2 linked regions of the Mus musculus genome follow. The protein of the gene in region 1 purifies or fractionates together with the protein of each later gene. This does not show direct contact. Links are inferred from orthologs where the notes say so. Each region holds a gene or a part of one and is shown in the gene's direction. Other genes may lie near its edges.

What was found.
Region 2: the proteins of Polr2f (region 1) and Gpn3 purify together in Homo sapiens (affinity purification with mass spectrometry; 3 studies listed by BioGRID and IntAct, counting the BioPlex papers as one, with this or other methods). This does not show direct contact. The link is inferred for Mus musculus from reciprocal best matches to the Homo sapiens genes POLR2F and GPN3.

Annotation. Positions count from the first base shown.
Region 1 is NC_000081.6:79,140,013-79,144,227, forward strand, and holds the start of Polr2f (DNA-directed RNA polymerases I, II, and III subunit RPABC2), read left to right. Parts: upstream 1-1,312; 5' UTR 1,313-1,402; coding exon 1,403-1,422; intron 1,423-4,215. Other genes in the region: 1700088E04Rik (UPF0193 protein EVG1 homolog), read right to left, coding at 869-971. UniProt on the Homo sapiens protein: DNA-dependent RNA polymerase catalyzes the transcription of DNA into RNA using the four ribonucleoside triphosphates as substrates.
Region 2 is NC_000071.6:122,375,473-122,379,120, forward strand, and holds part of Gpn3 (GPN-loop GTPase 3), read left to right. Parts: intron 1-2,994; coding exon 2,995-3,162; exon of another isoform or gene 3,163-3,239; intron 3,240-3,648. UniProt on the Homo sapiens protein: Small GTPase required for proper localization of RNA polymerase II (RNAPII). May act at an RNAP assembly step prior to nuclear import.

The DNA of each region.
Region 1 (4,215 bases):
TTTGACCCACCTGATATGGTTGTGGGGGATTGAACTTGGGTCCTTGAGAATAGCCAGTGCTCTTAATCTCTGAGCCATCTTTCCAGTCCTTATTTTATTTCAAGGATAGGTTCTTACTATATTATCTAGGCTAGCTTTTCTTGGGCTCAGGCAATCCTCCCATTACATATGCCTAAGACACACACACTTTTTTGGTGACTGGCTAACATGGGTGCTGGGGAATGAGCTTTCAAAGGGCAGTACATGTTCCTAACCACTGAGCCAGCTCTCCAACTGTAACACACACAGACTTTTTTGTGTATGGTGTGCTGGGGCTGAAACCCAGACTCCACATCTGCCTAGAATATACTCTGTCACTGAGCAACACCTTCAGCTCTATAATTTTCTCCTGTTCATTTTTCTTGTTACCCTCCTGTGTTATCAGTTTTCTGAGAGCAAGAGTTGTCCTTTGCAATCCTCTCAACACTCTATTCCTAGTACCTAGGACAATATCCAAATCACACATTAGGTTTTTGTCGTTGAATAATTAAGTGCATACATGCTCATTCATGTAGCAGAGGCTGGAGCTACAGTTGTGAGCAGAAACAGGCACGTTTCTTTGCCTGGTGGTGTTCACCATTTAGAAGGTGACACTAAACACCTCTAAGACTGTATAATGTCTAAGCCTGGTGAAGGGAATTGAATTTGGTACTGTGAAGGTCCCACTGCAGTGAGGAGATAGGCTTCATTGAAAGTGCATGTAAAAGATGAACTAACCATTCCAAAATTCTCCATCTCTGGTCTTTGATTCTTCCCCGAACCTTTCAGAATCCCAAGCTCTTAAGGAAAAACCGCACCGCTCGGGTCGTTGATCCCCTAATGCACTGACCTCTGAGCAGCTCACAAGTCCCCGGCGTGTAACCTGCTTGCTTACGGCAGCGGCGGAACCCGGTTCCTTTGGTCACCGAGTCCACCCTTTCCTGGGAAGCCATGGGAGGGCCCTAGGAGGGAGAGAAGCAATGACTCGCCCTAGTTACGCTTCGCAATCCGGACCTCTCATCACGAGCAACCTGGGAGTCTGAGAAGCTGGTGCCCGACCCCTCGGCTCCGGACAGCGCAGTGACCACAGTCCCTATCGTGACGGTCCGGGGAGGAGCGCTCACCTTAGGCGATGACCTGGGCGTGACAGAGCCCTCCGCACGGAGAAACTCCAAGGAGCTAGAGTGTCAGCGTCCTCACTAATCGCTCCTTGTTACCATGGTAACTAGCGACACGCCTCCACGCACGCGCATTAGCGTCTGGTCGGCCGCTGCTTCCCGGAAGTAACTGCGCCTGGGTCACGGCGCAAGCGCAAACTACGCGTGGTGCGGCGAGGGGCAAAGGCGCGCGTTCTCTGCTCTGCGCCCCGGGCGGAGAAGGCATCATGTCAGACAACGAGGACAAGTGAGCACGGGCCACGGAAGGAGGGAGGTCGTGGTGCGAGCAGGGCTCTTGGAGCACAGGCTAGCCCAGCTGCTGGGTTGGTGGGGCGAAGTCTTCAGAACTTCCTACCTCGCGGAGCAATGGGGACAGTGGTCAGAGAGTTCAGTCCGTGTGGCCCCTGTCCTCTGAGCGCTCTCTTTCTGGAAGGGAATGCCAGAGGTGTGTAGCTTGTGTAGTCGTGGAAGTAGGAAGGAAAAAGCAACCCAGAGAATGGCCTGGAAGGCTGGGAGCAGACGCGGGCTTGGGCTAGGTGTGATAGTAGCAGAGGTGGCAGAAGTGGGGATAGACTCTAGAGAGCATGAAGTTTAGTGTTGTTTGAGGCAAGGCCTCACTCTGAAACCCAGGCTGCCCGGGAATTCACTATATAGCTAAGGCTGGCTTTGAATTCGACACAGTCCTCTGCTTCAGCTTCCCAAGTGTTGATATATCTGGCATGAACCACCAGACCCAGCTGGATTATGGACATTTTTTTTTTTTTTTTCCGAGACAGGGTTTCTCTGTATAGCCCAGGCTGTCCTGGAACTCACTTTTGTAGATCAGGCTGAACTCAGGAATTCACCCACCTCTGCCTCCCCAAGTGCTGGGATTAAAGGCGTGCGCCACCACCACCCGGCTGGACATATTTTTATTTTATTTATTTGGAGACCAAATATAACCTTATATCAGGTGGTTCGAACATAGAGATTCATCTACCTCTGCTTTCCAGGTGATTTTTGTTCTTTTTTTTTTTTTTTTTTCCTGAGACAGAGTCTTTCAACATAGTCCTAGCTGTGTCTGGAAGTCACTGTGTAGATTTGGCTGTCCTCAAACTTACAGAGATCTGCCTGCTTTCACCTCCTGAGCACTGGATTACAGGCGTGCGCCACCATGCCTGGATCCTGATATATTTTAAAGATAGAACCTAAAGGATTTCTTGATACGCTGTATATGTTAATCAAGAGAGAAGATGAACTATGGTAGTCCTGATAGATCAGTCAGAATTCAGAGTCTGGGCGTGGTGGTTCACACCTGTAATCCTAGCACTTGGGAGGCTACTGCAGGGGAATTGTCCTGAACTAGATGTCAACATAGTGAGTCTCAGGCCAGCCTGAGTTACATACTGTGCAGTAAGATTGACTTCAAAACAAGCATACAAAATACAGTCAAAAATGCAATGAAAGCAGAGATGACGGCGTTGACCAGGGCAGTGATTGCCACCAGAGAAGAGATGGTGAGTGAGTGACTTGGGGGGAAGAGAACCCAGAAAAGCATCCCCTCCCCCAGAGTGGGAGGCAGGAGGGAGGAGCCAGGTATGCTGGCTGTCCAGGGGAAGGGTTCAGCATTGTAAAGATCCTTAGTGAAGCTGGGGGTGGTGCAAGCCTTTGATTCCAGCACTCAGGGCAGAGACTTGGGGGGGGGGGGGGGAATCTCTCAGTTCCAGGCCAGCCTTGTCTGCAGAGTGAGTTCCAGGCCAGCCTTGTCTGCAGAGTGAGTTCCAGGACAGCCAGGCAGCACAAAGAGACACTTTTCTTTTTTTTTTTTTTTTTTTTTTTAAAGATTTATTTATTTATTACATGTAAGTACACTGTAGCTGTCTTCAGACACACCAGAAGAGGGCGTCAGATTTCGTTACAGATGGTTGTGAGCCACCATGTGGTTGCTGGGATTTGAACTCTGGACCTTTGGAAGAACAGTCGGGTGCTCTTACCCACTGAGCCATCTCACCAGCCCCTTTTTTTTTTAAAGATTTATTTATTTACTATATGTAAGTACACTGTAGTTGTCTTCAGATACACCAGAAGAGGGCACCAGATCTCATTACGGGTGGTTGTGAGCCACCATGTGGTTGCTGGGATTTGAACTTCAGACCTTCGGAAGAGCAGTCGGGTGCCCTTACCCACTGAGCCATCTCACCAGCCCAAAGAGACACTTTTCAATGGGGAGGTTGTGGGGTGCGATGATCAGTGAGCACAGGAAGGATGGCTGTGGAGCTTGAGGGTGTGGCGAAAGCCTTACTGAGGTGAGGCTCTGACTCGGGAAGTGAAGAATTGGAGACAGCGAGTTTGGGCAGCTCCCTCAGACATTGTGCACCACGGGAGGCTGATGAGATGGAGGAGGGGCTAAAGGTGAAAGTTTTGCTGCCCGAGCCTAACAACCTAGGTTTGATCCCTAGAGCCCCTGGTAGAAGGAGAGAACAGAAAAGGGAGTCTTGGTGGTGTATGTGGGCCTGTACGCGAGCACGCATCATGTGCACGTTAGCAATAAATAAGCATGTTTTTAGAAGCCTGGTGACCTTAGGCTATGAAAATGGCAATGTCACCTTGGTCTTATGTAGTTTTGTTTGTTTGTTTGTTTGTTTGTTTTCTCCACCATAAGGGAATATGGAATTAAGCTGTAGCAGGAGGGGAAAGAATAATGGTGTGTTGTTTGTTTGTTTTTAAGAGGGGGAGGTGATGCTGGTAGTGTGCTGGTGCTGTGAGTGCCAGCGGCTTCATGCATGCTGTCTACACACCCTACTTTTGAGTTACAGCTCCAGCCCTGAAGTACACTTCACTTGTTTTTGTTCTTGAGACAAAATCTCACTATGTAGCCCAGGCTGGGCTCAAACTCCTAGTTCTCTCACTTCCCATTTCCAAATGCTAGGAGTACAGGAGTGTGCTACCACCCTGGCACGTTTATATTTCTCTCCTTATGTCCTTATGAGAGGCTGAAACTGTCTTCATGACGAGGGGGATGGCGCAGAGGTTAACCACACTTGGCTGGTTTCCCAGGGAG
Region 2 (3,648 bases), on another chromosome or scaffold:
GAACCTTGGTAAAAGGCAATGGAGAATTTTTTGAAAAGTCTCTCCAAAGTCATTATTCTAAGCTTGATTTTGAGTCAATGTCAAGTACAGTGGTGGGAAATAATACAAAGGATTCCTGTGTACCTTCACCAAATTTTCTGCAATGGTAATATACTCCATAGTGAAGTTCAGTAGCATAGTCAGGTGTTGGCATATCCAAAAACGTTTTTTTTTTTTATTTTTTTGAGACAGGGTTTCTCTGTATAGCCCTGGCTGTCCTGGAAGTCACTTTTGTAGACCAGGCTAGCCTCGAACTCAGAAACCTGCCTGCCTCTGCCTCCCAAGTGCTGGGACTAAAGGTGTGTGCCACCACTGCCTGGCTAGATATTTTCTTTATTTACATTTAAAATGTTATCCCCTTTCCTGGTTTCCCCTCTGAAAACCCCCTATTCCCTCCCCACTCCCCCTGATCCCCAATCCACCCACTCCTGCTTCCTGGCCCTGGCATTCCCTCACACTGTGGCATCGAGCCTTCACAGGACCAAGGGCCTCTCCTCCCATTGATGACCAACTAGGCCATCTTCTGCTACATATGCAGCTGGAGCCATGAGTCCCACCATGTGTTTTCTTTGGTTGGTGGTTTAGTCCCAGGGAGCTCTGGGGGTACTGGTTAGTTCATATTGATGTTCCTCCTATGGGGTCTTATACTTCTAACCTTCCTGCCTTTGCCTTTGATTGCTGGGATCACAGATGTGCATTCTTGAGGAGTAAGGCCCTCTAGTAGGTGGAGCTGGGGAGCAAGCTGGGGAGGAAGTGGAAATCATCTTCTCTTAAGAGAAAGGTAGGGGCCTAGAAACACAGAAGTGGATGCTCACAGTCAGCTATTGGATGGATCACAGGACCCCCAATGGAGGAGCTAGAGAAAGTACCCAAGGAGCTAAAGGGATCTGCAACCCTATAGGTAGAACAACATTATGAACTACCCAGTACCCCTGAGCTCTTGACTCTAGCTGCATATGTATCAAAAGATGGCCTAGTCGGCCATCACTGGAAAGAGAGGCCCATTGGACTTGCAAACTTTATATGCCCCAGTACAGGGGAACACCAGGGCCAAAAAGTGGGAGTGGGTGGGTAGGGGAGTTGGGGGGGAGTGTAATGTGGACTTTTTGGATAGCATTGGAAATGTAAATGAGGAAAATACCTAATAAAAAAATTAATTCTAAAAAAAAAAGAGAGAGAGAGAAAGGTAGGCTGGGGCTGGAGAGATGGCTCAGAGGTTAAGAGTGCTGACTGCTCTTCCCAAGGTCCTGAGTTCAATTCCCAGCAACCACATGGTGTCTCATAACCATTCATAATGAGATCTGATGCCCTCTTCTGGGATGTCTAAAGACAAGTAGTGTACTTATGGATAATAAATAAATACTTCTTAACGAAAAGAAAAGAAAAGGAAAGGGGAAAAGGGGGAAAGGGAAAGGAGGAGGCAGGCTGTTGCTTTGGGATCATGTGGCGGAAGCACTCGGTTTCCTTAAGCAGAAAGATGTTTGAGAGACCCCCGGGGGCCTCACAGAAGGTGACTTGTTTAGATTGAATACCTTTTAGGAAGTCAGTCACAGAGTTCCCATCCTCCCACCCCAGTCGGAGTGCTCCCCTCCCCATCTCCAACTTGTAATCAGGCTTGGGAGTTAACTGGCTTCTTGGTCATCAAGTGAAGAGATAGCAGTTGGCTTCATTTCAGCTGACTTCTTGATATAGGCACTACATAGCCAAGTGGTTCACACTGTGACCAGCTCAGAGCAGGAAGTGTCCAGAATTGTGGCCCAGCAGTCAAGCCTGCTTCCTTCAGTAGCCAATGTCCCTGGTTTCTGATGTGTTCCTCCATAAGCAACTGAGTGTACACATAAAGTCTGTGCAGTGGACTTCTGTAGCTGTATAGCCCTCTTTCCCCACTCTCCCAAGAGCTGCCTGGCAAGCACACCTGATTCTTACAGGAAGTTCTATGCACTAAGTTTTTCACTTAATGCTATAAAGAGCATTCCCTCCAAGCTGGGTGTGGCACCGAATGCCTTTAATTCCAACACTCACGAGGCAGTGGCAGGCAGATCTCTGTGCTCTAAGACAGCCTGGTCTAAGACCTTGCCTCAAAAAAAAAAAAAAAAAAAAAAAAAAAAAAAGATGAAAAAACAAAAACCCCGGATTTCTGAGTTCGAGGTCAGCCTGGTCTACAGAGTGAGTTCCAGGATGGCCAGGCTACACAGAGAAACCCTGTCTGGAAAAAAAAAAACAAAAAAATACAAAAAAAAGAGCTCCCCTCCCTCTTGTGTCTGAAGTGTTCTACTGTGTGATATCTCTGCAGTAATGCTCAGTCAGCTGTCTGGGTCTCTCACTCTCCACCTTTGAGGCAGGGTCTCTGTCTAGTCAGGGTTTCTATTCCTGCACAAACATCATGACCAAGAAGCAAGTTAGGGAGGAAAGGGTTTATTCAGCTTACACTTCCATACTGATGTTTATCACCAAGGAAGTCGGGACTGGAACTCAAGCAGGTCAGGAAGCAGGAGCTGATGCAGAAGCCATGGAGGGATGTTCTTTACTGGCTTGCTTCCTCTGGCTTGCTCAGCCTGCTCTCTTATAGAACCCAAGACTACCAGCCCAGAGACGGTCCCATCCACAAGGGGCCTTTCCCCCTTGATCACTAATTGAGAAAATGCCTTCCAGTTGGATCTCATGGAGGCATTTCCTCAACTAAAGCTCCTTTCTCTGTGAACCCTGGACATAATTCCCCCCCGCCCCCAGCAGCCCTCCTGTCTCTGCCCACAGCACTGCAGTTGCAGAGGTGCGGCCAGGCCCAGCTTTTCCATGGATGCCAGAGGCTCACACTCTGGTCCTTAGGATGGTGCGTCAAGCACGCTGAGTCACTGAGTCGTTGTCCCAGCCCCATGTGTGAGGGGTGTATCTATATATACCTGTTGATTAGTTTTCCAAGTGGATACTCACTCTGGTCCCTGCCTGGCTCTGCAGACATCCGGGAGCTGATCGAGGTGGACGATGTGATGGAGGACGAGTCTCTGCGGTTCGGCCCCAACGGAGGCCTGGTCTTCTGCATGGAGTACTTTGCCAATAACTTTGACTGGCTGGAGAACTGCCTGGGCCACGTCGAGGACGATTACATCCTTTTTGACTGTCCAGGTACAGCAACAACTTGAGTGTACAATCTGCCTGGAGCTGTGACACTGTGTCCTCGTGGGGACGTAGTGAACAAGTACCTGCAGAACCCAGTTGGATCCGGTTTATCCCTTGGGTTGATCAAGTGCTTACTGAGATCAACCTTAAGAGTAAGGGGCCATAGCTTGTGGCTCAGTGGGAAGCAAGTGCGATCAGCAGTTGCCCCATGATTTGTATTTTTGGCAGGTGACCCACAGAGGGAACAGGAGGCAACTGGTCAGTTGTCCGTTAAAATAGGCTATGGGACAACATGGAGTCAGTTGTGCAGGCAAAGGGCCTCAGACAAGAAGCTATGAGCAGACTGAGGCAGGGGTGGCTATTTGACCAGAGGTGCTGTGAGGTGAAATTGGGAAGGGACAGGTGACGTGTGAGCTGTGGACCGGAGCCAGCCTTGTTCATGTGTGTGTCACGAGTGTGGATTCCCAAGCCACCCCTTTATGCTCGTATCAC